Drosophila melanogaster: one gene and its partners. The protein of the gene in region 3 purifies or fractionates together with the protein of the main gene of each other region. This does not show direct contact. Each region holds a gene or a part of one and is shown on either strand. Other genes may lie near its edges.

The links.
Region 1: the proteins of Adh (region 3) and fln purify together in Drosophila melanogaster (affinity purification with mass spectrometry, with the first as the bait; one large-scale study listed by BioGRID). This does not show direct contact.
Region 2: the proteins of Adh (region 3) and Mlc2 purify together in Drosophila melanogaster (affinity purification with mass spectrometry, with the first as the bait; one large-scale study listed by BioGRID). This does not show direct contact.
Region 4: the proteins of Adh (region 3) and Cyt-c-p purify together in Drosophila melanogaster (affinity purification with mass spectrometry, with the first as the bait; one large-scale study listed by BioGRID). This does not show direct contact.

Annotation. Positions count from the first base shown.
Region 1 is NT_037436.4:19,986,924-19,993,951, reverse strand, and holds fln (flightin), read left to right. Parts: upstream 1-2,731; 5' UTR 2,732-2,803; intron 2,804-2,828; exon of another isoform or gene 2,829-3,100; intron 3,101-3,212; exon of another isoform or gene 3,213-3,317; 5' UTR 3,318-3,321; coding exon 3,322-3,581; exon of another isoform or gene 3,582-3,647; coding exon 3,648-3,803; exon of another isoform or gene 3,804-3,865; coding exon 3,866-3,998; 3' UTR 3,999-4,401; downstream 4,402-7,028. Other genes in the region: Csas (CMP-sialic acid synthase), read left to right, coding at 4,974-5,047, 5,100-5,290, 5,347-5,551, 5,607-5,883; schuy (schumacher-levy), read right to left, coding at 5,920-7,028. UniProt on the Drosophila melanogaster protein: Possibly involved in the regulation of flight muscles contraction, possibly by modulating actin-myosin interaction.
Region 2 is NT_033777.3:30,169,300-30,177,650, reverse strand, and holds Mlc2 (myosin light chain 2), read left to right. Parts: upstream 1-3,099; 5' UTR 3,100-3,164; coding exon 3,165-3,167; intron 3,168-3,836; coding exon 3,837-4,079; intron 4,080-4,238; coding exon 4,239-4,661; 3' UTR 4,662-6,213; downstream 6,214-8,351. Other genes in the region: CG1983 (uncharacterized protein), read left to right, coding at 105-197, 262-474, 560-707, 767-1,008, 1,066-1,134; Rsod (uncharacterized protein), read left to right, coding at 6,584-6,653, 6,969-7,881, 7,945-8,351.
Region 3 is NT_033779.5:14,612,793-14,621,418, reverse strand, and holds Adh (alcohol dehydrogenase), read right to left. Parts: upstream 5,868-8,626; 5' UTR 5,776-5,867; intron 5,291-5,775; exon of another isoform or gene 5,117-5,290; 5' UTR 5,081-5,116; coding exon 4,982-5,080; intron 4,917-4,981; coding exon 4,512-4,916; intron 4,442-4,511; coding exon 4,175-4,441; 3' UTR 3,872-4,174; coding exon of another isoform or gene 3,776-3,871; intron 3,350-3,775; coding exon of another isoform or gene 2,945-3,349; intron 2,894-2,944; coding exon of another isoform or gene 2,576-2,893; 3' UTR 2,517-2,575; downstream 1-2,516. Other genes in the region: Adhr (Adh-related), read right to left, coding at 2,576-2,893, 2,945-3,349, 3,776-3,871.
Region 4 is NT_033779.5:16,715,315-16,723,227, forward strand, and holds Cyt-c-p (cytochrome c proximal), read left to right. Parts: upstream 1-4,617; 5' UTR 4,618-4,662; intron 4,663-6,694; 5' UTR 6,695-6,735; coding exon 6,736-7,062; 3' UTR 7,063-7,330; downstream 7,331-7,913. Other genes in the region: Cyt-c-d (cytochrome c distal), read left to right, coding at 3,821-4,138. UniProt on the Drosophila melanogaster protein: Electron carrier protein. The oxidized form of the cytochrome c heme group can accept an electron from the heme group of the cytochrome c1 subunit of cytochrome reductase.

The DNA of each region.
Region 1 (7,028 bases), on a different chromosome or scaffold from region 3:
ATGGAGTATTATTGTTTAGAAAATGTACAAAAAGCGATGCAGAGCTGCAAATTAAAAGGCTGTATCAGTCAATTCCCACGAAGAGCGGTTACCTCACCGCCAAAACGAACCGTCCACACAAACTGCGATCCCATCAGAAAAAGCGAAATGCCATTCTGGAGATAGCAAAGATCAATGGAAAGTGCAAACGATGAACAATGTTTTAGTTTCGCACAGTGACGAAACAATTACTTCGATTTGGAGAGCGATATAGACGATAAATTAAAATAGACTTGGTTCCGTTTGTTTAAATATTCTTTTATATTTTGCACCAAGAGGAGTAGGAAAATATGTGCTCCATCAATAAGTGGAGTTAGTTGCTTTTACCAAATAAAAATAAAATCATCTGCAAGGGTATATTATATTCTTCGTTTTATAAAATCCGAATCGGTATTAAACATGATCAATTAGTATGATTGATTACTTTAAAGGTTTACACACACATTTGGAAGATATTTATTACAAGTCATATTTGTTTAATTGGCTGCTTAAGTATTGGGTTAGTCATGCATTTAAGGCTATAATTAAGCTAGGCACAAATATTATTGGTATTTATTTAATTGTACATTTTATGTGATTCCTTTACTTACATCAGTTTGATTTCCGTCGACCAAGTCAAAGCATTATTTACCTACTGAGGCTAATATGCTGAAAATATAAAAAGAGCTTGTTACTACAAAATCGCCATCGGATTGTAAGAAAATATTATAATGGAATATGCGATTCTCTTCGATATTGCTGAATCTTTTTTTTCGAAAGAATATAAAGAAACTCCCTCAATTTAAAATTTCAAAATAGCAGCAACGAAAAAATTGAAATTAAAGCTCTGCCATGAGCCAAATTCGTGCCAAACGGAAGGTAGTTGAGTTTTGAAAATGGCTAAGGTCATGGTCAATCTGGAGGCAATTAGTTCGGTTCCTGGAGAAACCCAAAACCCCATTTTGAACACGTATTTTGGAGTAAGATGTTGGGAACAAGGCTATTTTGGGATTGTGGGTCACAATCAGCGCTTGTTTCACTAGATGGCTGGTATACTTTGGGCCAGAAACGCGAGTGCGAGTGTCAATGCAGTTTGAAATCGCCTTTCGCGATGAATATACGCCGAATAAATGGAATTTTTGGCACACGCATACGCCTGCGTGTCACGTGGGGAAAGCACGGCCCGCGCCTACAGTTTTTTTTCCTGCCCTTCCTCCCCAGCGTTCGTTCGGTGTTACGGCCTTTTTATTTTGCACATAATATTCACACCAAATCGGGTAAGGGGCTCCAGTGGGCTCCAGCAGGGGGTGGGGGAGGGTGGTCAGCAGGGAAAGGCTGGCACTTGGACACCAATATTCCACATCGTATACCAAACCAAGTGTATGCGTTTCGAGCGGGGGTTTCTTTGGCGATGGCTTGCTACACAACTTGCTACACACGTTTAACTCCCAGTGGACCTCGGGTTCTCGCTTACATAAATTGGCACTGTTTTTTTTTTTTTTTTTGGAGCGAGAATTCGAATGCGAATTAAAATGCATTAATATAACCGGCTCGCACTGCTCGAACCGCTCGATTTAAATAAAGTAGTTTGTTGTTTGTGTCCATATGTGCTTGCGTGTGTGCGAGTGGGCATGGCTTTGTCACATGGTCCACTTGGCCCCAACGTACAATGTCCTAGGAAAACGATTTGCTTGCTTGATTTTTATTCTCCACACAAATTCGCCCTAAATTGTTATTTTTGATATTTACATATGTACATATGTACGCAGGTGCGTATGTACATATGTACGCACATGCAGTGTATATGCACGCAAAATGGGCTAAAGTGTGTATGTAGCTCGATTCACACGGGATTTTCGCCGCCTCGGCGGGAGGTGGGTGCGGTTATTACCTGAACGAAAATGACACATTGATTTTAGGCACATTTCTGCTACCCGCTAGGCTAAACAAAATCACTTTTCGCAAATGCAATAAACTTATTCGACCAAAACACAATCAATACAACAAATTTAGGGGTGGCTTAAATCGAGGCGATATATATACGAGCGCCTTATCGATGTGTGCTGCTGGTTTTCGCTTTTGATGTATCGATAAGTTAGGGCGATTGTTTTCACGCCGTTTAAACAAAATTGTTTTTAAATTAATTTCGGGGCTTTTAAGAAAATTATAAGCATGTATTTAAGCAAGAATACCAATACGGTTAGAGTATTAGTTAGATCGTAGATATAACCTATATAAATAAATTTATGAAGTGTTCCACTTTCGTCGTTCCCGTGATAGAGTAACGGTTCCTTTTTAAATAATTAAAATTCTTATTGGATTCATGATGAAACCAAAAAAATTTTAAAATAACAAATTTAACAATTACGGTGCGGATTTCTTATGTGAACATTTATCAACTAGGATTCATAATCTTTAGGCTTATTCTGGAAAAAGTTAACAAGTGTTGTAACTATTTAAAATTAAGTCCGTATAAATGAGCAAATTGTTGAAATCGATCAAATTGAGCTTAAAAGATTTATTTGACTACTTAAATTTGAATCTGCTTACTAACTTTTTCATTGTTCCGGAACTTTTGATGCTGAAATGTGAAACTATTTAGTACATAGGTGTTAATAGCGTTTCGGCCAATTAAATTTAGTATGTGAGTACGCATGCCAACCTTTGTATATAGATGTTGCTTCTCGATATATTTAGATTAAGTTTTCTAAGTGCATTTGTTTCGAGCAGCAGTTCGATCATTTAGTCTTTTTTCCTTTATATCAGTATAAACACTATAGTAAAGGTACGGTCCCTAATTTTTCAGTGGACCCAATGTCCTAGTTTTAGCTGCTAGAAAATCAATGTGAATCCCTTGAACGTCTATTAATAAGTCTATGATAAAAAGTCCTTTGGAAAGATAACAGTGATATGAGTGGTTTAAGAGATGAATCTATACAATTCAATCGATGAATGATGTAACTCATTATATGTAGATTATAATGCATTGAACCATTTAAATCGTCCTGAATTCGAAAGGTCTAAGAACGCCAGCTATTTGGGCGTCCTGAATTCCAAACATTTCCGATCAACTGCGAAAAAGGTTGTTTTAAGAACAAAATTGAAATTTAGGTTGTGTTGCAATGTTATGCAACGTTAAAAGGCCAACGTTTATAAAAAATAAGAAGACAGTGAATTTGTTAAAGTATCTTATTGTGATATAATAATATGATGATGGCTTACGTTACCTAGAGATCGAATATTGAAAGTGAATCTGTCTATGATAGATATATAATAATATTGAAAGGATTCCGTTTCAGTAATATGGCAGACGAAGAAGATCCATGGGGTTTCGACGACGGCGGCGAGGAGGAGAAGGCGGCATCCACCCAGGCGGGCACTCCGGCCCCACCCTCAAAAGCACCGAGTGTGGCATCCGATCACAAGGCTGATAGCGTCGTGGCTGGCACTCCGGCCAACGAGGAGGCTGCTCCGGAAGAGGTAGAAGAAATCAAAGCACCGCCGCCTCCGCCAGAAGACGATGGTTACAGGAAACCGGTGCAGCTCTACCGCCACTGGGTCAGGTTGGTCCTCCACTGTACTGTACAGCACTGTACCGTACTGTATCTTATGCAATCTGCACTTTTCAGGCCGAAGTTTCTGCAATACAAATACATGTACAACTACAGAACCAACTATTACGATGATGTAATTGACTATATCGACAAAAAACAAACTGGAGTGGCCCGGGAAATACCAAGACCACAGACGTGGGCGGAACGTGTCCTGCGCACACGGAATATCAGGTGGAGTAGCTAATCCGGTTTGTGTAAATATAGTAGTTGTTAATATTTGTTATCCACCTCAGTGGCAGTGACATTGATTCGTATGCACCGGCAAAGAGGGACAAACAACTAATTCAAACACTGGCGGCCTCGATAAGAACTTATAATTACCACACCAAGGCATATATCAACCAAAGGTATGCCAGTGTCCTTTAGTAAGCGCACCTAAATGTACCAATAGAACCGTCGGACGAACGGATGAGCACTCGTAGTTATATAAAGGGTAACCACCCATTGTCAAAAGATCCATACGTACATATGTGTATAGTCAGTCAGTAAGCGTTTGCATATCTGCGCATCTCAAAACTCTGTATCCTGAATCTGCCTTATGGAGTGGAGACCTTTCAAGAAAACGAATATTGTATATTTTTTCTTACATGCGTAATTTCTGTTAATATATTGCCATATGTACTTATTCATATATATTAACACAACTTACCTCTCAATACATGGTATTTTTAAGGTTATTTACTTCATTTTTAGCAAAGTGAGTAAATAAAACAAACCTATTTATATTGTAAAGCTTAAAATAAAAACTGTGCAATAAATAAAACTAAATAAACATTGATGTTTTTCCTATTCAAATATGACGGCAGGTATGAGGTATTCAAAAACTAGTGCTTAAAGAAATCCCCATGGGCATTTAAAAACTTTAACTTCATAGTCAAGCGCATGAGAAATCCATTTTTTATTATAATTTAAAACAAGATGAACGAAACGTTAAAACCCACTTTGGTGGACTGACTGGTGAGTACTGCCCTCCATGAACGAGTAAGGAAAATCAGAGTAGTCCAAAGTCCCCATAAAGTGTCTATTTGCATAAATCACAAGTGCAACCCCTCTAATAACACACAATAGGGTAAATTAGGCTATTGTGTGCGTTTGAATTAGTACAAGTACATTTTAGAGTGAACTAATCGCAAACTAAATTAAATTATATTATTAAATCACAAAAGAACTCAAAATAGAAAAGGATCACGATCATGAAAAATACTTTAAATATATTCTGTTTTTTCAATATTTTGTGTACTTATGTTATACTTACTGGCTCACCCTAATACATATATCTTATATGGGCGCCACGATTTTTCTTTTTATTTAAATTTCGACCTCAACCAGAAGCACAGCGCAATGATAAAACTGAAACCGGCCACTTTTCTTATTTTACTAGTTTTTCTTTTCGAAACCGGGTGCACGGAAAATTGGTTAGTGTAGTGCAGATTTATGAGTACTTTTATTTATTGGATTTTATTTCAGTCTGAGCAACGATATTCATGCATTAATTTTGGCCAGGGGAGGCAGCAAAGGCATCAAGCTGAAAAACCTGGCTGAAATTGGTGGCTCATCGCTTTTGGCCCGCACAATTATGACCATCAAAAATTCGACTTGCTTTCGACATATTTGGGTTTCCACAGATGACAAACGAATTGCCATTGAGGCACAAAAGTGTGAGCATTAAATATTATTATAGTGAATATATCTTTTAAACTCTTGAGCACTTTAGATGGTGCCATAATACATCATCGGCCTGAGAAATTCGCCAGAGACGACACTCCTTCACTTCATGCCATTTCGGAGTTCCTAGATGTTCATAGAAGTATTCATGACTTTGCTCTATTCCAATGCACATCTGTATTCCTGAAAACCAAGTATATTCAAGAGGCTGTTCGAAAGTTTGAGTCCCATGACTGTGTTTTTGCCGCTAAGAGGTACACTATGCTCTAAGAAAAATGTAGATGTTTAAAAATCTATGATCTATTTCAGATCACATTATCTGCGATGGAAGGTGGTCGATGGTGAATTGATGCCAGCGGAATTCGATTTGAGTGCCAGGCCAAGACGCCAAGATTGGCAGGGTGATATTGTAGAGACAGGAATGTTTTACTTCTCGAGGAGGAAACTGGTGGACAGTGGGCTACTGCAAAACAATAGGTGCTCCGTTGTGGAAATCGATGCCAAGGATAGTCTGGAAATTGACTCTAGCCACGATCTGACTCTAGCCAAATACATCTTAAGTAGTGAAACAAAAACCGAGTTATAGAAATAGATATGCTATTCATCAAAGAAAGTGTAAAGTTCATTGATCTTGAATGTTGGTTTGATTTTGTAGTTTAGGCTTCACACTTTTTGTTGGCCAGGCTATCACGGAAGTGTAGCGACTGATTCGCTTGGTCAGGAGGCGTGGAATGAGGGCGTTGCTGGTGGGTCTCAGGACCAAGCAAGTCCTGCCAAACCGAGCGACACACAGGGAGGTTGGGCTGGATGGATTGGTCCTCGCAAATGATGCACCACCCATGGATCGGGGTAATGGCGACTTCTTGCTGCCGGCTTGATCGTCTTGGGTGGCCTTGGCATCCTTGACATCCTGGGGTTTCTCCTGAACCTGGGCCTTCTTGTTAAATATGGGCTTTATACCATCCTGATTGTGGGATCTTTCGCTGGACTTTAGTGACTTTTCCTTGGATGGGTAGAAGCTGCTGCGTCGCTGGCTTGGTTTCAAGGGGCAGCAGACACTTTGGGCTTGTTGCTGCTGCTGCTGTGATTGGAACACCTGTTGGTTGTTGAAGGGTCCCAGGCAGTGGCAACAAGGATGGGGGTGCGTCCTGCACTGGGAACACTGGTTGCACAAGGATTGGCACGAGCAACAGGGATAAAATCCTCCAGAAATCGGAATATTCGGCTGCTGCTGCAGCGCACAAGTGGAGGTTCCGAGAACTGGGTGCATCATGTGCTGGCTGATCTGACCACCTAATCCCATAGAAGGATGTGATTCCATGCTCGACAAAGGACAGCAGGATGTACCACCGTTGTAGCAGCCGTTTGCAAAACTCTCCGGCTTCAACATGCAGCAGTTGCTTCCGTTGGCTGGACATTGATACTGATTGCCCATCTGCATTGGGCAGACTTGACTCGTCCTCGACGGACAGCAATTGCTGCACGTGCAGCAGGAGCAGCTGGACATGCTGCTCGGCGTGGCGCACAGGAACTGCTGGCCAGGATACATGACAGGACAACCCGATGTTGCCGTCCCCGGCTGATTCATGTGCATAAAACTGATGGTCACATATGGCGAGTTGTTGGTCGGTTGAACTCGCACGTTCGGGTGTTGCTGCAGCGTCAAATGCTGCTGCATATGTTGCTGCTGCTGCTGCAGCACATTCTGCTGCATGTTCTGATGTTGCAGCA
Region 2 (8,351 bases), on a different chromosome or scaffold from region 3:
AGGGCTGTTTCTTATCATTGAGTTAACCAATTGTAAGAACAATAACTACTATTTATCTGTACTTATATATAAAGAATATTATTCATCTCGCATTTTTTAGTTAAATGCTAAGACGCACAATGGCGGAATTCGACGTCAAAGCCGGCCTGCAGCACGTGTTGAAGCGCATAGACGAGGTGCTCCTCCAGCGGCCCAAAGTAAGTTAACTTAAGACCCACTTATTAATGACCTCTTAAATGAAAAACTTTATCTCTCGCACAGGAAGTTCAAGCTGCCAGGCCGCTGCTCGTTGCTGTAAGCAAAACAAAGCCAGCGGAGGCCGTAATCGAGGCTTACGAGGGCGGACAAAGAGACTTCGGTGAGAACTATGTACAGGAGCTGGAGGAGAAGAGCCGCCACCCGGACATTCTGGCCAAGTGCCCCGACATCAGGTGGCACTTCATAGGCCACATGCAAAGCAACAAGATCAACAAGGTCAATTGGATAACCAAGATCGGATAACAGCGTTTATCTCTTATCAGCACCTCTCTTTATCTTATTGATCTCATTGTTTATTTAGATCCTTTCTGTGCCAAATCTGCATATGATCCAGACCGTAGATAGCGAGAAGTTGGCCACCAAACTGGACGCAGCCTGGTCTAAGCGACAGCCCACCCCTGAGGAGCCATTGCAGGTGCTCATCCAGATCAACACTAGTGGTGAAGACGGTGAGTCTCACGCCCCCAAACTAGCGACCTTATACTTACTTTCCTAAATCGACCTCTAGTTAAAAGCGGAATAGAGGCGAAAGATGCTCCTGCACTCTACCAGTACATCAAGAGCAACCTTAAACACCTCAACCTGATGGGCATAATGACCATTGGTGCATTTGGTTTTGACTACAGCAATGGACCCAATCCGGATTTCGTGTCCCTAATGCAGGTGCACAGATCCATATGTGAGGCGCACTCCTTGGCCCCGGACTCGGTGCTCGTCTCCATGGGAATGTCCAACGACTTCGACAAGGCGGTAAGCTACAAACCGACTGAGCAAGTTCCGTCTCTAAAATCGAAACTATTCCCTCAGATCGAAATGGGCAGCACAGTGGTGCGCGTTGGCTCTTCTATTTTCGGCCATCGGGCGGCCAAGGTGTAAGAAGGGGAGCGGAGCAGAGATGTGATAGGAATGCGTTGCGGGCACTGAATACAGCCGATTCCCAATGACGTCCGACCTCACGACTGAGCACCTCCAAGTTCGCTCATGTATCAGGTGGAACTGGGTATATTCACACAGACTAACGTAGTAAATCAGCAAATCAAAGATGATTTGGCGTTTAAATTTAGAAACCCTTGAGATAAACAAATGTTATGTGTAGGCTGTTATTTGCCTTATTTAATTGTTAACCCTTTATAAACAATGCTTCCAAAGTGTCAAAACCATTAATATTCCCAGAAACATTCTGCACCTTGGAAAATTGAATACATTTGCCGCAGTTTTCATTAGTTTTAACATTCCTTCGACTGCGTCTTGCTCGTTTTTTGCACTTTGTTCTATTTTTACATTCGCGTATATTCAATGCTACTTTGCGTATTAGATTGTGGGCAGTTTTCCTCTATATCTTCTTGTTTTGGTTGGCCCCAGGCCAAAATGTCGCCTGGTTACGTGCCAAAATGGCTGCGCCATGAGAGTTTTCGCCGAAAATCACTTTCAATGGAGCACGAAGATGACTGCAGCCTAAATCGATTTTCATTATGTCTGATCGATGAATTATGAAGGCTTTCTCGCACGGATCCCATCGTTAATTGAGATATTTTCCGTTTCATAAATTTGCATAGAGCCTTCATTAATTATAATATTAGCCAGCGAGGGTAATGAATTCAGGTGGCAAAGATGACCTCATGTAAATATTGTTTTGAAAAATGTTTTGGCTTATTTCCTTCAGAAAGCAAAAAGTCGAATAATTTGCAGAATGAATATTTCTAAAAAAAATAGATGTAAACTATATGAATAATAATATTTTGTAACACTTGAAACTAAATTGAAATTTCCTGCTTATTTGGAAAACTAAAAATGTGTAAATAAGGCTTTGAGAATCCAATTTGTCGATTGAAGTTGTCACAATTTTACTATTTATTTACTGAAATGGCTTAAATAGCTTGAATACTGCAGTGTTTAATATTTTTAGTAACAAGGTTAATGTATCATGACGTGGTACCCAAAGTTTATCTGAAATGGAAATCCTACAGCCTTCCCATTGTTATGCAATGTCCATGGATGACTAGCATATAGATAAAGTCAGATGTTTATTCCACATTTGTTGCCGAAATAACTCTGGTCCAATATCGGGTTCGTTGGATATTTATGCGACACGAAATCCGCCCGATCGCCGTGTATGTATATACAGATCTATAGATTTGGAATTCTCGGCGCTCTTCATATTGCACAATGTGCGGGGCATTTCGAAAACAGAAAAAGGAACGTAGGCGAGCAAAACATCGAGTATATAGGCGTGAATAGAATACATACATATGCTATATGTTGGCATATATGTATGCTGTCCGCCGCCAAGGAAAATGTAGGTGATTTCAGCGCAAGAGGACACCTTTCGGAGGTGGCCTCTGGCAGAGAGACGCACCGAGTAGTGAAGCAGAGCAAAATAAAAGAAAACAAAACAGAATCCGAGGATGGGGAAATGTATCCACAACAGAGAGCCGCTATATGAACCAATCCGAATCGCCCCGAAATAAATTCCGAACATATGTATAGGCTTCTGCTGCCCAAAAGCCAAAGCCAAAGCAATTTCTCTGCCTTTAAAATTAGATTTTTGATTAGAGCAGCGCCCGATGGATGAGTAAACACCTCGGATACAGCTACACCATAGGCTATAGGCTATAGCCATGGCTATATCTATATAGTTGTAGCTGCCCGCCCCCGCCGATCTCCTGGGCGGACCTCGCCTTGCAGATACTAAAAAAGGCAGCACGAATATTGCAGATACGGATACAGCGAATGGCGCCCGAAGATCCCCGAAGGTGGCCGAACCTCCACGAGCGGCCCCAATGCTTGGAAGAAGAAGAGCTCCTCCGAGCTCTTAAAACATCATTGTCTTGGCGATAAAATCAGCCAGAGATTCAGTGTGCTCTGACGGCTCGACTCGATTAGACAACACATCAAAGTTCAGCACCATGGTAAGGACTCGTCCCGGAATATCACTACAATCCAACTGAACCGAACTGAACCGAACCGAATCGAACTGGACCCCAGTGCCTGGATATATGCAGCAAGGATAATGCCGATCAGTGCAGTGAATCGTTTGCATTCGAGAATGACCCCGAGGATATGAATATGAAGTGAACCATAACTCTAAATCATGGTGATCCCGATTCACCTTCTTCACATACGCAGTGAGAATAGTGCAGAAAGTTCTATAAATGGATCGATCCGATCCGAGTGTTACGCGTCAGTAATGTAATCTGATATCCGTGCCGGGGAGCGAGCGAGACAGCGAGTGGCGCACGGCGGAGAGCTTACGTAATATGCGTCCGGTATATTTTTAGAATGAGTGGAAAACTTTCGCCTGCAGATACATATTTTCTGGCCTAGTCGGGTAGGCCTTTTGAAAAGCATACCTTACATCCCTTAAATCCCTATTAAGGGATAACTTTCTACCCATATAATTCCAATTGAAGATCCTTCAACGCGGATAACTTACTAAGATCCCTAAAACGAATAGTATAACTTCCGGAATCGGAACTTTCAAGTGACAGCTAAAGACGGACTATAACGACTAATGACCGAGTAGATACCCCCTTTCTGCCACGAGTCCCTACTAATAAATCCCTCTTTTCTCTCCTCAGGCCGATGAGAAGAAGAAGGTTAAGAAGAAGAAGACCAAGGAAGAGGGTGGTACTTCCGAAACCGCTTCTGAGGCCGCATCCGAGGCAGCAACCCCGGCACCAGCTGCCACTCCTGCCCCGGCCGCATCTGCCACTGGTTCGAAGAGAGCGTCGGGCGGATCCCGTGGCTCCAGGAAGTCGAAGCGCGCTGGCTCCTCGGTCTTCTCTGTGTTCTCCCAGAAGCAGATCGCCGAGTTCAAGGAGGTGAGTTTTGGGCGTTACTCATATATCGCATCATATGTCGGATCACTCGAGACCCATCCCATCATCCTGTCATCCTACCATCTATCGCACTTGTCAAGGACCAAGTCACCAACACACTCTTTCTTTCTATCTCTCTCTGTCTCTGTGCGGGATCGATAGGCCTTCCAACTCATGGATGCCGACAAGGACGGTATTATTGGCAAGAACGATCTGCGCGCTGCCTTCGACTCCGTCGGCAAGATCGCCAACGACAAGGAGTTGGACGCCATGCTGGGCGAGGCCTCGGGTCCGATCAACTTCACCCAGTTGCTGACCCTGTTCGCCAACCGCATGGCCACCTCCGGTGCCAACGATGAAGACGAAGTTGTTATTGCTGCCTTCAAAACATTCGATAACGATGGTCTCATCGACGGTGACAAATTCCGCGAAATGCTCATGAACTTCGGTGACAAGTTCACCATGAAGGAGGTTGATGATGCCTACGATCAGATGGTGATCGACGACAAGAACCAGATCGATACCGCCGCCCTGATCGAGATGCTCACCGGCAAGGGTGAAGAGGAGGAGGAGGAGGCCGCCTAAGGCACATCCGATCACATCCTAACTTCTAACTCAACATCCATTTTACAGCCAGAATCAGAACGTTAAATCAATCAGTCAAATCAGTAATAATAAACGTAATTAAAAGAAACGCTCGTTTACATATGTAGATTCTCAGTATCTTGTAATCTCTTTTGTTAACCATCACCAAGTACCTTGTACCAAGAACAACACCACCAACCAGATCAGCAACATCCGATCAAACTGAACCTCAAAAGAACTTCTTCAGCAACATTTGGTAGCGATCAGAACCATTTACCATGTATCTGTCCATCATAGTTAGGGATACTTACGATCACGTTCACTGTCACGGCAAGAACTGACGCGTAGTTTTCTAGTTGATTTACTGTTAAATTTTACACGTAAAATTTATAAAACATATGCTATCTATTTTATTTAAAACACCTATAAAATCAACAAAAAAAACTTAAAAACAACAAACAAGCCGTGTCTATTTTTATATCGCTGTCCGTTGAAGAACTAAAGAGAAGAACCCCCAGAGAGAGATGATTACCAGATCGAGATCGAGATCGGAATCGAAATGAGGATGTATGATGTATGATTTATGATGTAGGGAGGACGAAGACGATGTTGATGGGTAGCCGGGCTGTATTCGTTAGCCCTGCACCCGCGAGTTCAATTTGATTATGAATATGAATTTTAGCCAGTTTTGTGAGTTACAATGTTTTTCGTTCAAGAAATCTCGCAGGACCAGGAGAGAGAGAGGTAAACCCATAACAAACTATTGTTAGGGATCATTTAACTGAGAGCCAAATATATATCCTACTATCACAAAATATTTATCGTTATACATATCTATCGTTCGTTACTTACTTATTTATCAGTTATGAGTTATCAATATTATTGCAAGTTATCGAGAGTTAGGCTAATAACAGAGAAACATTAAGTTCATTCACTCAAATTGTTTAATGCGAATTTATATAACTTAACCATCGCCACCACCACAACTTTCTGCTTATGAACTATCAGCGATATAAACCACCCAAACGAACAAACAACCCAAAATGATATCTGAAATATGAAGAAACATTCAAATAACAAACCCAGTGTTTCTAGTTAATGCGTTTTGAAGCTTCCAGGATGATACGCCTCCCCGGGAAATAGACGGTCGGGGGGGTTTTAGTTTGAATAAGGTGCCCATAACCACTAGTACCTAGGCTGATCGGAGGAAGCACAATATATTGCCTTATTTATCTAATACTACTATTACTCAGAACTCAACACTTGACACTCGACACGAGCACACACCACACTCACACGCACACTGCAATCCATTTCAAAGTGCAACATGCAACAAGTTGTTAAATGCAAATCGAATCTTTACTTCAGTATATTTTAAGCTACACACGGCAAGATGAAAAAATTCAGAAAACTTTTAACCCGGTCAGGAATATTAACAAGAGTAAAACAAAAAACATCTAAAAATAGAAAACAAGTAACTGTTTTTATACAACATAACTAGATGATGATACGATGACGAAGTCTTGGAATAAAGCAAAAGAGAGTCGTCTTGAAAAAAAAACACAAAGCCATTGAAGTTTGATTTGCTCAGGGAAGGGGTTTTTTGGGGGTATGTAGTACCTTACTGCATATCTGACTCAGCTGAGCCGTGCCGGAAACCAGTTCCAGGTCAAAACAAAACCACCGATAAAGCTGGGGAGCTGAACGAAGCTGTGGAGCGCAGTGGGAAACTCCCCACACTTGGCCAAGACGATGGCCAAAACCGAACACGAACCTTCGAGCGACCAGTTGTCAGTCGAGTTTCGAGGCGCACGCATGCGCACTACGATGTGAAAGTCAGCCACGCTTGTCATTGCCACATCCATTCCGAACAGCGCTTTTCGAATAATCTGGTTACTCAGGGCGTAAGTAGAACCAGAACCATGGCTCCAGGTGGACGACAGCTTTTGTGGATGGCTTCCATCTGCTGGATTGCATCACTAATGAGTGGAGGTGAGTGCTGGGAATCGATTGCATTGTATGCAGATATTGCGTGGCCAAAGAAATCGAAAGTATCTCAGTTTGAGTCTGGAATATCTCACCACACTCTCGAGTGCACTGCAAGAAAAGTGATATACATTTGGGGCGAACTAAGCCCTTATCCTATGCTGTATACTTTGCTTCGAAAGTAAACTAACCTTTTATTTCCAACACTATATTTTATGCATATAATTATATTATTCATTCATATTTCTCTCTCTGCGCCTATGAGATATCTCACCTTACTAATGAACACTCCACTCTCACTATCGTTTTTGTGCCTCTCAGCTGATGCACAGCATCTGATCGCTTATATCTCGCAAAGAGGTCTTCATGGAGAGATCACTTTTCGGCAAATGAATGCCACCACGGTGGAGATCAAGGCCAACCTGGAGGCCACTTTGCAGTACCCCGACCAAGTATGGAGTTGGGGAGTACGTCGCTTCCCCGTGGACTACTCCAATATTGACCCAGACGAACGCTGCGAACTGAGTCGTTTGGGCTCCCAGGTCCTGTCCTTTGACGAGGACTTGGAGTACCTGGTACTGCCCGGAAATGAGACCTCCAGCTGGGAGCGAAACATGCAGTTGATTGGGGATCGGGGAATCTGGGGGAAGTCCCTGGTTCTGACAGAGGTCAACGCTAATGCACGGATCTGTGCCACCATCACCACCATCCAGAGTTCCGTGGAGCACATGGCAGAGGCTCGTTTTAATACTCCTGTCGCTGGATCTGTCCATTTCCGCTGGCTGGCCCCGGCGGAGGGAGCTGTTGGAGATACTCTAATCTACTCGGATCTTTACCATATTAGGGCGCAACCAGCTGCTCTGGAGGAAGATAGAAGTCAAGCTGGACCGTTCACCCAGCACCACTGGAAGATCTATGTGACGGACATTTTCAAACATGACCACCATCGCACGGAGGACAACTGCAACTTCCTGCAGCAAGTTTTCGATCCCCAAGGAAGTGGAGCTGGCAAGGGAATAGGTGATCTGGACGCACGCCTAGGCAGGATTGGAGTGGCCAAGAATGCCCTTCGTTCGCCACAACGCAGCGTTTTTAGGGATGCTCAGTTGGCCCTGCTGCCCTCGGATCTTACCATTCCCCATAGAACTCTTTACCTGGTTCTTTTTGACAACCAACATCCAGATTCGTACCTCGCGTGCACCAAGATTCGCCATGTCCAACCTTTGACACATAAGTGAGTGGTTTTTACAACCCATTCTATTTGAAAGTATAACCATTTTTTTTTTGTTAACCGCAGAACTTTCATCAACTCTGGTGGTGTCAAGGGAGAGGTTACCTTCATGCAGCGCTCCAAGTTCGACCCAACTTTCCTCAATTTCACCTTGGGAGCACCGCTTTCCCAGCATGTCAGTCGCAAGTTCGCCGAAGATGTGGCCGCCTTTCGGATTCACAGTCTGCCGCCGGTGCCTTCGAGGATGGGTCACGAGGACTACTGCCTGACCACTGGGGACATGCATAATCCCCGGGAGATAAACGAGAATATACCCCCACCCGGTTATGGAACCCAGGAGCAGTATCCCGTGGGCGATCTCTCCGGGAAGCTACAGGGTCGCAATAAAGGTTATTGGCATCAGTATGTCTTACCAGGAACGAGCTCCGAGTTGAATGGCCTCTACTGGGACGTATTTCTGCCCCTTCAAGGAC
Region 3 (8,626 bases):
TGGCTTTCAGAGCTTCAAAGTCTGAGAGCGGTCTTGGCGGGCAAGGGGTATTTGCTTCCATATCTAACATGTGTTCATCTGTTTCTTTTTCGCCACATTGCCGCATGTCGTATAAAACGAGTCGAGATTGGTGAACTCTGCCCGAGGGGAACTAGATCAGAACATCAGAATTCAAGCTTTAGAGCAAATCACAATGTATTCTAAGACCCATTGTAACATTTATCATATATATAGTCTTATATTAATTTACACTTACATACATAGCAAATGGAAATTCAATTCTTTATATTCCACTAATTATTAGAGCATTACTCTTAAGGAACAATCAGACATCCTGCAGTTTGGTTTCAACACTCATAACCTTTGCTTAATTACTATAATACCATTGATTTCCCACTCCATTAATGAATGGCTATTAGGTTTCATAATGAGTGCATTATCAGTGTTGGCTATAAACTCCCATCAGATCAGTACTTCATTATCTCACAACGCTCATACACAGACAACAGCAGCGATCCATGCAGTTGCATAATCACTATCTTCTTTGGCTGTGGTGTGCATCCGTCAGGTTAATTAGTGAAATACCTGGTGACCAGGCACGTATTGCCATTTAAAAAGCATCAGTAATTTTTTCCTCCATTTTTCCGCAAATTTTTTTTTGTTGATTAATCTCCACCTACTGCCGGCAACCGGTCGGTCGCATGTTTTTGTTCGATCTACAGTGTTGGGGAAAATACTAGAACTAGTCGAAGCCTAGATACTCTTAGTATGAATAGTTGCATTCAATATAATTATTAGTCATTTAATATAACCTACCATTTACGAGTACACCTACAATCAAATGGACAAACAAAATTGGTCAATTACCGGCCCAGAATATTTATTATTTCGTGCAATGTATCTTGGTATCGTAATTTTCAATATTTTCCGGCATTTCCTTCAGGCGAACATACCCCAATATTTTTTGCGATTGCACTGCCTCTCCCATTTTGGCTATTGTGCCCTAGCCAATCGATTACTTCCTGCATTTTTAAATGTCCTCCCCCCCACCTCCTTGCCAACCGGCAGCTGACCAAATTAATCAAGCGTGTGCCAAAAAAAAAAAGTGGAAAAGGGGAGGAAACCAGCAAAAATTAAACGAAAAAAAGGAGTTATAAATGAAAAATGCTGGACAATTGCATGGTTCGCTTACAGTGACTAATCGATTTTTGGAATTAAGTTGCGCCATCGAAAGGAAAGCAAACTTGCAACGCCGGCGGACGGCAGGGAGTGGGAACTCTGGAAAAATGCTTTGATATGGCCTGGCCAGATTCCACTCCATGCGATTCCGTTGGTTCCATTCCGTTGCGTTGGGTCCTCAATGTCCGATGATATTGTGGCTCTTTTTGGTCTGCTGGCTATTGATTTTTTACGAACCGAGTGGCCCCCGACTAGAAGGAAGACAACGCACTCGAATTGGAAGTATGCCAAGGCGGCGTGCCCACAACTCACCCCACCATATAGCTGAGATATAGCTACACGATGAGAAAAAGCCAAGGCAAGATTGGAAGTAGAAAATGTATACTACTTAATGAATGCAACATAAAAATATTAAGAGTTTTTCAGTTTACTCGACCGTAGAAGGGCTATTGCGTTAGATTAGTACCGAAAATACCAAAACTATCCCAGCATTTATTTTTTTTTTTTCCTGGTGTATCTGTAGGCTCTCAGTGCCAATATTCCTGGGCAATGTGTCGGCAGATTTGTTTGTTTTCGCATTCGATTCTCGGTCGTCCGATTGGGTTTCCTATGGCTGACTGGGTCTGCCTGTGCGTTTGGAAATGTGCCAAAGTTCAATGCACGGCATTGCTCTAGCAAAATTTCGACATGCATTCGCATAGTTGAGATGCACTAGAGACGTTCTAGAAATGTTGCACGTAAAGTCTACGTATATTGTTGTTGAAAAAGCCTTGAGTAGTTGGACTTGACTTTGCACTTACAATTTAGATCAAAGGTTGTTAGGAGAACATATAGTCGACTGATGTCAAAAAAAAAACAGTATAGTTCACATTCCCACAACATGCATAACGTAACCCCATCATAATTAAGCACATCTAATTATAGCTCCCATCAACATTCGCTCGCCCAAAAATATATGGAAAGGCTTAATGTACACCCCAACAGCCTAGCAAGGAAGCTAGGAACTGCAGCTGTGGTCAATGCTGACCCTCGGACTAGAGTCAAAAGAAGACTCAAGCGACACCACCCTCATGACCTCCCTAACCTGGTTTTGACCTAGAAAGTCTTAGTTTTAAAATTCATTAGAATACTATGTTATATCAACTATTATAATTCTCCCTATCATTTTTAGGATTAAAAATCTGTTAGTCTTAAGTAACCAAGACACATAGTAAAATAAAATAATTTAAGCAGATCAAATTAAGTTGCCGCATGGGTAACAGTGCGTTGATCAAATAATAAAAACATCATCAAAAAAAAAAAAAAAAAAAAAAAAAAAAAAAAAAAAAATATCTATTATCATAGGAAAATGAATTGCCTACTTTTTGCGTAAAGCATTATTTTATTTGATTCGAATTCAATCTTGATCCTCTTCATCATTGCTCTGCATATAGTGCACGAACTGGTCGGCCATGTGCCAGTACCAATGCAATTTGACCAACTCGAGTCCACCCTTATCCGCAATCCATATCTGACCATTCTCCGATCTCTCGATGGCATTGACAATATTCTGACCACAAACCGATGTCGATTGGCAGGGCGCTCGCCGCAGGCGATCGGCAAAGGATTGTCCGTATTCCAAAAACGCTTTCAGTTCCCGGTCCACAAAGACCCTTGTAGGACCACAACAAACCGCCATCACAGCTACCCCGTTTTGGGAATAGTAAAGAGGGTCCTGAAACCAAAAAATTATGAATTTATCCGCATAAGATCGTATTCAACTCACCGCTAGACTTCTGGTAAATCCAATTACACCGAATTTGGATGCACTATATGCGCAGAAAACCGGCGAAGGGTCCAATCCAATGACCGAAGTGACGTTCACAATTAGCCCACCAGTTCCTCCCATTTTTCTGTCCATATAGGGTAACACTGTGGCCACAGTGTTCATCATTCCCGTTAGATTTGTATTGATGGTGGCATCAATGTTATTTTCATCGCACAGCGTAGCACCATTGATCAGGACATCGATGTAGTCCATTTGGACCATCACCTCATCGAAGTACTTCTTCATATCTTCCCTTGCCATGGTCACGTCGTAGGTCCAGAAAAATATTTGGGTACTCGGCTTTATCGACTGCAACTGAGCGATGGCCTGGGGATTTTCCGTACTCTGTAAAATGGCCAGTTTCTAGAGTAGAGAGAGTAAAACTGTAAGAAATTGTTTGGCTTTTAGTAGATAGTAACTTCCCCGTCTCCCTGAATTTCCTGATAAAGAATACAAATATTTACACAATATATTGCTTATCTGGCGATTAAAATAGACTTCATAGGTGGTTTAATATCGAAATATAAAAAGTATAAACGACAAAATGCTTATCATTAAAAAAAAAGATGAACACCAAGCTATTAGAATGAGTTTTGATTTTGTTCTAAAGTATTGATTGAAAGTGGCAAGTCCTTCAGCGAAATCTAAGCCGAACTGAAACATAAACTTAATTGTTGCTCAGCGCGAAACTAACATGAAAAACTCATTAACTTAATTAGTTTCGACAGCGACTGGCTGGACTAGTTTTGAGTTCGATCTGGACAGAAACCGAGCTTCCCGCTCACTGACCGCTATATTCTTGGTCATGAGAACCTTGCTGGTCTCCAGTGCAATTCCTCCGCAATCCGCCACATAGCAGACATGCTTGCCCGTCAAATCGAACATTCTTTCTATCCGCTTTCCACGACTTCTGTTTTACGACTGATTGGCGGAGGAACTTGGCCATGCTCCGCCATTCCTGCCGCTCCCATTTATCTATTTTAATTAAGTAGAGCGTTTATCAGTTTTTTGGATTTCTCAATTTTCATATATTTTTCCATATTTTTCATGGAAAGTTTTATTATCGTATTAGGAGAAGAATGTGAGTGTGCATCGAATCAGCCTTATTGCCTTGCGTGAATATCTTCTGGTTCGCAGAACCCTATGAACTAATGTTATGTTTTTTTTTTTTTTTGGGAGTATCACTTCTTAGATGCCGGAGTCCCAGTGCTTGGTCCACTGGATGGCCTCCAGGGTGCCCAAGTCCAGTTTCCAGATGGCTCCGTTCTGGTTCAGCTCGATAGCCTTGACGAAGTTCTCGGCGCAGGCCAACGAGGGCTGGGTGGGATGAGCCAGGAGCTTCTCGGCAACCTGAGGCTCAACATCCAACCAGGAGTTGAACGTGTGCACCAGGGTGGTGCGGGTGATGCCGGGGTTCACAGTGTAAGCCGTCACGCCGGTAATGGGGGCCAGTTTCTAAAGGTGTTATAAATCAAATTAGTTTTGTTTTTTCTTGAAAACTTTGCGTTTCCTTTGATCAACTTACCGCCAGGGAGCTGGTGAAGTTGACCACGGCGGCCTTGGTGCCGGAGTAGACGGGCACCTGGTAGATGGCATTGAATCCAGTGACGGATCCAATGTTGCAGATGATACCACCGGGACCGCCCTTGCGCTTGTCCCAGAAGTCCAGAATGGCCGTCGTGGTGTTGACCAGGCCAGTGTAGTTGACGGCAATGGTGCGCTCGATCTGGTGATCGTCCAGGATACCAGCTCCGTTGATCAGGACATCGACGGTCTTCAGCTGGGCGAAGATGGTCTTCAGCAGCTTGGTGGTCTCGGCAATGGGCACGGTCACATCATAGGGGTAGAAGGTGACGGTCACCTTTGGATTGATTGCCTTCAGCTCGGCAATGGCAGCCGGGTTCTCAATGCGGTCGAGGATCACCAGGTTCTAGGATTGAATACACGAGATTAACCTCCATCGCTGCATGGAGCCTGTGGGCATCGCATAGTTACCTTCAGATCGCGCTTGAGCAGCTCCTTGCTGGTGTCCAGACCAATGCCTCCCAGACCGGCAACGAAAATCACGTTCTTGTTGGTCAAAGTAAACGACATGGTGACTTCTTTTTTGCTTTAGCAGGCTCTTTCGATCTGTTTCAATTGGAAGAGGGCTCCGTTAGTTGTTGGTTTCCAGTTCGTGTCGGCCCCGTATTTATAGGAAGATCCGTACAGCAGAAGCTTCGGTTACGTAGAGCTTTTCATTATCTACCGTTACGCGATCTCGGCTATGTACGCAGGCTGCTCAGCCGGCGACGGCAGCGCTGCCTAGTTTATGGTTTATTTTTATTTTTCGGCACACACGGTTTGTTTTTGTTTGGGATTTTGTACCGGCAAAGCTTTTTCTATATTAGTATTCTTATATTAGTATTAGTATTAGTATTAGTATATTATATGCCTGATGCTTGGAAAATTACTGCTCGTCTGCACGCGCTCGCTTTTGAGATAGCTAACGAAGGCACGGCGCCGATTAACAGGGACGAGTTATGTTAAAATTCCTATTTTTAGAAGTTAACTAACAGGTGATTTTCCAAGAGGAATATGCGGAACAGGCCTCCAAATTTTAATTCGATGCCAATTAATTGAGTTCGCACTACTTGTGACAGCTTGAATTAGTTCTGATTGAATAAATTTGATTATATATGATTTTACAAAATATTTACTATTTAATACTGTCATTTTATTTCCGCACTTGCATAATAAATTCAATTAAACAAGAATTTCCTTCAATTGTGTGCCCTTTTGCTACTTACTTGATCAATTAAGTAAATTTGAAGAGATGCAAGTACTCGTTAGCCCGTCTGCTGAACTGCAACTGACAACTGCACTGAGACAATAATGCATGACTTGGACCTTCGCAGCTCCTTAAATACTGTTCTCTCGTGGGGGCGAGTGCAGTCGACGTCGACGGATGCAGCAGCAGCGGCGTTCAAATAATGTGTAATATGTAAAATGCAATAAAAATGCGCAAGCAAGTGATCTGCAAACAAATGCGGGGTAAAGTGCCCAATAGAAAATGGAACACCAGAAAGTGCACTGAGAAACAAATAAGTGAAAACGTAAAAACATAAAATGAATGAAAATATTCCAAAATCGAAAAAGAGTCAATCTTATTTACAAAATTTGTATTTTTCTCTCGTAGTAATTTTTTAACCGATTTTAAAAAAACACCGGTTTTCTAACAATAATATAACATAAACTTAAAACACATTTGTTAAAAGCATATGGACTAAAAAAAATATCTTATTCCGTGTACCGTTATTTCTATAGTAATTTCTTACAGTGTAGGGCCACGAGCCAGAATATTAAGAGCTTTGACCTTGTGAATGTCAAGCATAGCAAGGAGAAGTGTAGAAAGATCGTGTTGTTGCTGCGGTCGCAATTGAACTTCGGCTTAATTTGCATACGTGTAATACTGTGACTGGGAGCCAACGGGACTGGATGGTGATGGGAATGGTGATGGGAGGGGTGGCTGCTGGAGGCAGCGTAGAATCAATCTAGAAAAGTTGGAAAGCAAGCACAACACGCCCCCTAAAAGCAGCTCATTAGCAATCTCACTTGTCCGCAACAGCGACCAAGCCCACTTTGTGGCCGAGCCAGAGTAGCGGTTTCGAATGCAGCTAGATTTAACCCATGCTCGCACACAAGATTAATACATGTACATATTATTTAATTATATTAATTAAATCGGCAATACTATAATGCTTTAAAATTTGTTTGCCAATTTCGTAGATTTTATATATATTTGTTTATTTATTTATTCAAAATATATGAGTATATGTGTTTGGTAAGAATAAAATTGTATATGTTTACTCCACTTAATTACTTAAAAACTAATTGACTAAAAATCAATTTGGTTCAAATATTTTCTTGAGCAAATTTTGAATATAGGGCGTTAAATATGATGTGGGAGGAGGCTACTGCAAATTCATATGTATTTTTTGCATACAAATGATGAGAAGGAAAGAGATAAGCATGCGGAAGAAATAAGCTTTCAATTTGCATAAAACTTAAACCTGTTTGTTGATATAGAACTATATGTGTGTGTGCACACAAGTTCTATCACCTAATTGGAAAATACATTTGCTAAAGTATAAACATGTATTTCGGGTCATATATGGCCCAGTTCTCCCGAAGCTTTGAGGACGCTTAGGAATTCATAAAAGTTAAATCTTTTTTTCATATATTCTTATTAAATATTTTTGATAATCTTTGGGGGTCGCATCGAGCGTTATCACTAATCCATATATGGTCACTTGGGGAATGCATGATTGGAAATTTTCGGGCTCCGATTAAATTTTCAGCTCAACAATTTCCCAGAGTCAATAACTCATTTTCCAAATTGACCCACTAATCGAACGGGTTGCTCTCCTGCCTTGGCAACTGACCGCGAAGTAATATAAAAAAAAATCGTATGATTTTCGCGCCTCCAGACGTTAATTTAATATGGTCTGGCCTAGTCTGGGGCTACAGTTTTCCTTATCAGCAGACGTGCCTAACATCTTCTTACTGCTTGGGGCAAACGAAATCGTTTTTATTAGGTACACTGAACAAAATGAAATGCATGCAAATAAAATGAATTGTGTAAATAAGAAAATAAAATCAAATTTGTTTATCTTATTTCGTGCATGCGTCAAAGGAATTTATTTTTAGATTTATCTGTATTTTCTATAGTGGCAAAAGCTTTTGGTGATAACATTTCCCAAATTAATGTTTTGTTTTGGTGATAATTTATATTAGTTAATAGAGTATTTAAAAGAAAAACACATTAAGGTGAAAACATTTTAACTTGCAAGTGTATTTCCTTTACACATCAATTATCTTTAACAATATTTGGTCTTGATATATATTTTTATCAGTGTACACCGTGCAGTGGACAGTGTGCGCCTTATCGGCTTGGCCCCCAAGTCATGCCGCCGGTGACATTCAACCTCTGGGGGGGTAATGACGCCAGCGGCGTACCTGCCAAAACCGATTTACACCAGCTCCCGCACCAACGCACGCCCATGTCCATATGTAGGTACACACTCGCCAGCATTGAGATGTCGTTTCCCGGGCTGATTAAGTCGGTGGCGGTGGCGGTGGCATTGTCTTCCCGCTGCGAGTGTGTCTGCCTAGTGAAACGAAACTGGGGCTTCTAAACGCCGGGGTCTAAGCAGCTTACCTCTAGTGTTTGGGAGCGGAAAAGCGGGAAAACGGGTGGTGAAAGGAAGGGTTACCAGGGGCAAGGGGGAACCCTACTAGCGCACGTTCCATTTATTTGGGGCGCGGCTTGCATTGCATCTCGATGCAAACATAATCTAATTTACTATTCCACTGCCTGACCCATTTGACCCATTTGCCAATCTCTCGACAGCGAAAAGGAGGAAATCAACCTGGTTTGACGTAATTGAGTGCAGAGAATCTTTCCCGCGATCTGATCAGGTTTCCTACACGCTTGACTTTGCTTTTGGGGTTTGGGAAACCGCAAGACGGCTAACTCATCCTATAGCAATTATATATTTAGTATAAATGCAGTTAATTTTGTTTCGAATTCAACGAGTTATTGCAGATATTTGTTTGTTGCTTCTGATTGCCCAAAAACTATATTGTTACCTCTCACCT
Region 4 (7,913 bases), 2.1 Mb from region 3:
GATTATCCTTTCGAGTTGAGAACCCCATTCCCTTCATATGCGAATGTCCTTCGGCGATAAAAAAAAAAGGCAAGAGCCTTATAGGATAATCTGGTTTTTAGCAGGAACTACATATATAAGTCGCAAAGGTCTCGCTCATATCGGAATTTATAAAGGAAATGTAAAAGAATTTGGGGTTGAAATAGAAGTGGGGGCAGGCCATAAAACCAAATGAAAAACGAGTTGGGGCTTACGTTCGAACGGAAACGCAAATAAAAAACAACAACGTTTTGGCGTGATTACGTAAAATGCGTAAAAGAACAGAAAGAGAGAGTAAATCGACGATGAGAAAGAGAGACTCGCAGGAACCACTTGACGCATTTCAAGGACACGTGCAGCCTTTGCAAGGACACACGCAGCACAAAAGAGTGGCGAATTACACAACACTGGGTGTCGGTAGCGCTCCCACCAACTTACCGTAATATGCAAGTTGGCAGCTCCTTTCTGGTGGCTGCCCTGTAGCTTTCTTGCCTTTTTTTGGATTCAGCTAGGTAGGCCCTGACCGAAACGCTCTAGAAATTTCAGTAGTGGTAAAGGCCAGAACACATAACTTTCGAAGGTGACAAGCAGCAAACAAATTTTCCGTTCTCGCCGAGTCTTGTTGTTTTGGGGATATTTTCCAACTCAAAAACTGGTGCGTTTCAGTTCCTTTACAGACGCAAGACGCGTAATATTCGATCGGTGTAACGGTGAACAGAATCGGCAGCGGGAAAACCGAACGCGGCGAACTCAGCTGATTGAATGAAAACGCCAAGCTGAGCAGCAGCCACAATTGCCATTGCCCCAACCAGCGCTCATTGAGAGAGGGAGCCAACGAGAGAGCGAGCAACAAGCAACTGCAGAGCGAGAAGAACTGTCCGTCGGGTAAGCTTGTTGCGTTGTTGCTGCCCCTTACACAGCAAAAAAGAACTTAGCTAGTTTTACAATTGCTTAATTTTATATGAAACTAAGCATATAGTCATATTTGTTTATTAAACTAAATAAGTAGCTATATTAAAAAAGCTAATTATTGGCATTCTCCTTCTTTTCTCCCACTGTGCACGATGCAGAGACGTCAGCAGTGCACTCAGAGCAAAGAACAGGTATAAAATGCCCAAAAAGAAGCATTTTTAGTAATTTTTCATTCACACATTTCCAACATTGCTCTCACGCGCAGCGCTGCAGCTCTCTCGCAGCGCTTTCTCCGTGTCATTTATGTTGGAGCTGCTCTCTTTCTAGTCTCTCTGCCCCACTCTTTCACCTCTTTCTCTCTCTCTCGCTCAGCATAAAATGCAAAACCAACTAGCGGTGTTGTTGTTGTAGTTGGGGGGTTATGTAACTTTCGGGCATCCGCAAGCACAGAAAGCTGAAAGCGTTGAAGGGCAGTCAGCGACCTCGTTCTAGAAAAGAAGCCATCTCTTCAGCCCCTCCACGCACCACCCCTCAAAAGAAAGCCCCCCCCCAAAGAAGAAGAAGCAACAGCAGTGAAAAGCGCGTAGTATAAACACATGCTGTAACATAAACAGTGGTACTTGCTTAACTAAAGCAACTATGCTTGCACATATAATTATAATTAACTAAATGTATTTGCTACCATTATCTTTAATGTAAAGTTTTGACAATGTGTTTTTCCTTAAATATCCATATTAAGCTCACTAATATTTCATAAAAACTTTTCTTTAATCTAAATATTTGACATCATGTCATATAAGTATTACTGTGCAATCAAAAAGAAAGGGGAGCAAGAAAGAAATGTAGGTTTTCTGCCATGCAGGGCAGGGGCAAACCAGAAATGTCTGCTTTTTAGGTTGGGGAGGTGGTTCTTTATGGGTATAGCTTTCGAGGGGGTGTGGCCTGGCGGGAATCCCAAAGTCATGCCAAATTGCGCAACAGCCAAAGCGTTGTTCTTGGTAACCCGCTGACCGAGGATATTGACGCAGAAGTGGGTATGGAGTGGCAATAATAATAATTTCACTGGTCAAGTCTGAGGTACTCCAAGAAACCGTTATTAAATTATGTTAAGTGAACTTTCCATGGTTACAACAAAAAAAAACGAAAGAGAACAACAGTATAGTCGATTTCCATGACTATACACCCAGCTAGAGGTAGTGCTAGGAAGATTTTATAGTTTTTGGCATATCGATAGAATCTTTTTAAAAAAAAAAACGTTAAATCATAGTTTTTGGCGTGACACCTTTGCAGTCTTCTGAAAGAAAGCTGCGTATCGTACATACGGACAAATAGACGGACAGCAGACATTGTCAGATCGGCTGGTGATCCTAATTAAGAATATACTCTATAGGGTCGGAACCGTTTTTTCCCTCTTACATACTTTACGAAAGTAGCGGGTGGAGCTACATAAAACATTTTTCCCTTCCTCATTACATTTGAGCAGATGCCGCAATATGCTTTTTATTTTTGCATAACAATTTCCGCACCTTACAGGCAATTCAATATCTGCACCTCCTTTAGCACGCAGACTCCTTTGTGCCTTTGCACTCTTTTTGAACTCTATTTGTCCTGGACCATCCTCTCACCTTTTTATGGACTTCCGCAGCAATAGATCTAGTAAACAATATAGCCTCCCCACAACCTTTCCGCAGGCTATCTCTTTCCTACTACTACCCCATGTTCGGCCGAGCCCGTTCAAGCGTAATTTAATTTCTTGCACCATTTATTTATAGTGGTCCGGCAAAAGAACTCGGGCCAACAGGCAGGATAGTTTAGCCTGCGGGTAAATTATGGTTCCATTGCCAATTAGGTTAGGTCACAACCAGGATGTCCCATTGGGGATATATGTATGTATGTATGTAGATGGATGCACAGGGAGTACACCTAATACCAGTGCAGGGCTGCCAGGAAAATGTCATTGTTTGGATTTAGAATGTGACATTTACATACGTACGTAATATAAATATATAAATAATATCATTCTCTGAAAAATATCATAATGCACTCTTGTAAATTTAAAACAAATTTAATTTTAAGATAATTGGTTGAGATAAACATAGTTAATATTTTCAATTGATCCTTTAAATTTTAAATTGCAGGTGAATATCATCCCTGTGTGACCGTTGTATGCGGCATGGTTCCATGTCTCTTTCCCGTTATTCATTTCCCTCTGCTTTGTTTTTTTTTTTTTTGGTTTTGTTATGCGGTGGCATCTGTTTTTGCCACAGGAAAATGGTTGAGAGAGGGGAAGGCAGGGGGCGAAAGCGGAGAGTGCGTAAAATGCGTTTTAATTGAAAGGAAATGTTCAAAGCACATGTGCATCTGCTAGTCAACGAATTGGTTGGGAAAGGGGGTGGCAAGCCGAATGTGTCTGCTAATTGAATTACCTTTCGGTTGCTTTTCCCATTAGAAGTGCCGACAAGTTCTCGAGCTGCTTGTTTGCTTTTCATTTAATACCCATTTTGATTTAATTTTCGTTTTTCCTATTTTTCTGACCCAATTTTGTTTTGCTTTCGTGCATTAGCAGCTGTCTCTGTCTATCGCTGTGCAGCCAAGAGAGTGACCAAGAGAAACGCTCTCTCTCTCTCTCTCAGTTGTCCAGGACTTGCACTTTTCAAACGGTTTTTTAGGACACTGAAACAAATTGAATCTGTTTTTCTTTTCTATCAAATTTTTAGTTCTACACTTTTCTTTTTCATGATAGTTTCGGAATCAACCAATTTCTATTTGATCCAAATTAACAAAAAACAAATAACAAAAAATTAAAAAATATAGAAATAAAAGCTGCATAAAAAGTTGAATTCTAAATCATAAATATCATTTTTCCCTATTTGTCTTTCAGGCTTCCAAGATGGGTTCTGGTGATGCAGAGAACGGCAAGAAGATATTTGTGCAGAAGTGCGCCCAGTGCCACACCTACGAAGTGGGCGGCAAACACAAGGTGGGCCCAAATCTTGGCGGGGTCGTGGGTCGCAAGTGTGGCACAGCAGCGGGATACAAGTATACCGATGCCAATATAAAGAAGGGCGTTACCTGGACAGAGGGGAATTTGGACGAGTACCTCAAGGACCCGAAGAAATACATTCCCGGAACAAAGATGGTGTTCGCAGGTCTTAAAAAGGCTGAGGAGCGGGCCGATTTGATTGCCTTCCTCAAGTCAAACAAGTAGAATCGCCTGCGAAACAACAAGATCGGCCACCATGCTATCCAGAAAACTGCGCTTAAAGACTACAAACATATTCAAAAGATGACGTATTTCACTTGGATTTCGAAACTTTGATTGGGAATGGTCGAGCTCAAATACATTTCAAAAAGGTTTACTTTCACTTTAGCCAATTAAAGTTGATAAACCAAAAACCCTCTTCTTAATTCAAGTTGTGTGCGACGCGGGTGGAGGAAAGTGTTGTACCAATCAGCTTTGGTCACAGTTGGTTTTATGGTCCTACTAGCAAAATGTAATAAATTGGAGAAGCTTGTTAAATAATGCAAATTTTCCAGAGGCTTTCCAATATAGTCCCGTTAATAGGGGAAAAAATTACTTATACGCCGTGTGGTGGATAAATACGGGTACAAAAGCTTGCGACATTTTTTAATGCGTGGCCCCCGGTCACTCTGGTCACACTAATTACCTATCGACATAACGCGCGCTCGTCATTCGTGAAAAATCGGCGACGCTCGACGTTTGTGTTCAATGTAAGTAGTGGGTGGAATTTTTGTATTTTCAAGTGACGTAAATATTACCTTGAATAGTTATTGATTATCAAGCCCCAAGTCAGATAAAGATTAGAAACACTTCCGTGTCATTTACGTAACATCCAGCAGCTGTGTTTTGTTCTGAAAATGATTCGCATGCAAATTTAACGTATTCTTTGGGGGATGATTCAGGTTACATAAACGTGTCCTTGTGTGTGTGTGTATAAGTGTGATTTTTTATTAGATATTTAATAGTTTATTTAGCAAATATTAGCAGTGGTGTATTAATAGTAAAAATAGCATCCCAAAGTCACATTGCCATTGAAAAAAGCCCCGGAGAGAGTCGATTACATGAGCAAAGAGAGTGGCGTACCCGATCATCAGCTGTCTCGCTCGCTCAGTGGCAAAAATTAATTCTTGGATTTTTTGTCAATGCTTCAGCTTTGGAGTCTTTAAGCGCGCCACGTGGTTGCTAAGCAGGTTTTGCTTTCTGCGATGTGCAGTTTTCTATAATATAAATAAAAGAGAATTCACCTCTGCGAAAAGGCGGCTTATGTAACATTCGCTGCTCTCAGGAAACTTGGATGTTGGCCCAATTTTCACTCATCTCTTTGTTCTCACCACCTTGCTCACCCACACAAGGAAAAACACAGCTGCCTTTGGCCTGCTTCCAATTTTCCAATTGCACTTTCCCTTCATCTCACGCACACTCACGCACGGCAATTAACTGAAAAATACTCAACAAGGCCAAATCGGATGTTGACATTGTTGTTGCTTTGCCACCTCTCACTGCCAAAGTGCATGATACTCTACACAGAAAGAAGTGAAAAAAAGGTTGATATTAAATGCAAATTATGTGTAAAAGCGCACAAAATCAATAGTCTATATATATTAGGTTTGTTTTTATAGACAAATGCATATAAAATAAAATTAGTTTTCTAGAATTGAAAGAGCTTCAGCTAATCGAATTTCTCTCAGTCTATGTGCGTGATGTGTAGGTGAATTACTCACCGCAACGGTACTTTGCACTCTCAAGTTCAAATTGCTGCATGCAATTTATAATCCGGCAATTAGCAGGATGACCGTAACACAGACCCTGGAATAATAGAATAGTTATGTAAACAACTAACGTTTTTCGTATTATGATGCTTCCTGGAAGTTTTCCGCCTGTTGCTGAGCAGTTCTGACGCAATTAATCGGCGACTGGCAAATATAAGCGAGTGAGACACAAAGAGAGTGTGAGAAGGAGAGAAAGAGTGTGGGGGCAACATGTGACCAGCGTCTGAAGCTTTTTCAAAGTGTGTTTCTGATGACGTTGCGACGCCCTCCACGCGCGTATTAGTGAGAGCAAAGTATGTGGGTTAAAAAGGGGGTGGCCGCAAATGGAAATGCAGACTACGTTAGATAATAATTTCGGGCCTTATCAGAAACAACAGCCGACTAATGCACTTAGCATGAGCAATTTTAATAATTCCGTTTCCGCAGGGAGCTTATCAATTGTTTACATAACGGGGCAAGGGGACAAATATTAATTCACGGTCCATAACTACCTACATTAACCCATTATTTCCCAAGCATGGAAATTTTTGATGATATAAAGACGTTATTATTTTAATACCTTAAAAATATATAATATTATATAAGTAACGTTGGGAAATCAACTGGTTAATAAATTTTAAATTTCGGGTTTATTTATTCAATAATCTTTTGATAATGTATGGCTGAAAGTGAAGCTTTTATCAGTATCTACACAATGGTTCATTGGGGCTAATAATAAATGGTATCAAATATCGTATAACTATTTTTTGCAGTGAAACCAGAATTTCGGACTAAGTACATAAGCAAATGATATAAAATATATATTGTAATCAATTTATCAGAATAGAACAAATTAATTGGTAGCAGTTATGAACTTTGAACCATTTAGTAGCCAGTTTTTTAAGTTTTTCAAACCTAAGATGTAAGATAACAGATATATTGGTTACCCTTGTTTTATGAACCACTCATTAATAACAAACATTTCTTTTTACAGTCGAGTCCGTGTTAACACATTAATTAACCACATAATCCATAATGGGCGTTCCTGCTGGTGATGTTGAGAAGGGAAAGAAGCTGTTCGTGCAGCGCTGCGCCCAGTGCCACACCGTTGAGGCTGGTGGCAAGCACAAGGTTGGACCCAATCTGCATGGTCTGATCGGTCGCAAGACCGGACAGGCGGCCGGATTCGCGTACACGGACGCCAACAAGGCCAAGGGCATCACCTGGAACGAGGACACCCTGTTCGAGTACCTGGAGAACCCCAAGAAGTACATCCCCGGCACCAAGATGATCTTCGCCGGTCTGAAGAAGCCCAACGAGCGCGGCGATCTGATCGCCTACCTGAAGTCGGCGACCAAGTAATGGTGCTGTCCATCAACTTACCCACAACCACTGCAGGATGTCAAACTGTATTATTGTGTTCAGTCACAGTCCGGCACGCAAATGCAGCAGCAGCAACAACTACAACTACAAATCAACATAGTACAGACCTAAAGAACTACAATTATGTTAATTATAAAGTTTAAATAGGACAATTTATTATTTAATTTAAATAAAAAGTGGAATATTTAATTCAAACCCGATGAGAATTGTGACATCCACAAAAAAGTTAAATAATAAAAAAAGAACTAAAAAATGATATAAAATCTGTTTTATGCGAGGACCTGGTTTTTGTAGCTCGCAGGTCAAAAAGAATAAAAAAAGCTTCTTCAGATTTTTGACTCGGGCAACTCAAATTAAAAATAAGAGATACCAATCATATTTATAAAACAATTGTCCTGGCAATTTCTATCAATAGGTATCTGTTAGTCGTCAAACTCGACTGCAGCATACTCTTTGCGTCTGTCAAAAATGTTGTTGGCTGATCTATATAGGCCTTACTCATCTGAGTCGCACAAAGATGACCACAAATCATCCTGGGTTGCTGCAAATTCCTTAGTTCATTGCGTGGAGGTAGACATCACTAAAAACATCCAACAAAGAAAGAGTCGATACGTTACGCAGAAACATCACAATAAGATTGTATTACTGAGAGAGAAAGTAGAAAACTATTAGGGTCGAAATGCTCTCTTAATGCACATTCTATTTGGCCAATCGTTAAACAAGAATACACTGGTATTTTTATATTTTTTGGCTAATTTATGTATATTTTCTTTTACACTCCCAAAATTGTATCATACATTTTAATAACAACTTTATTATGCAATACATAT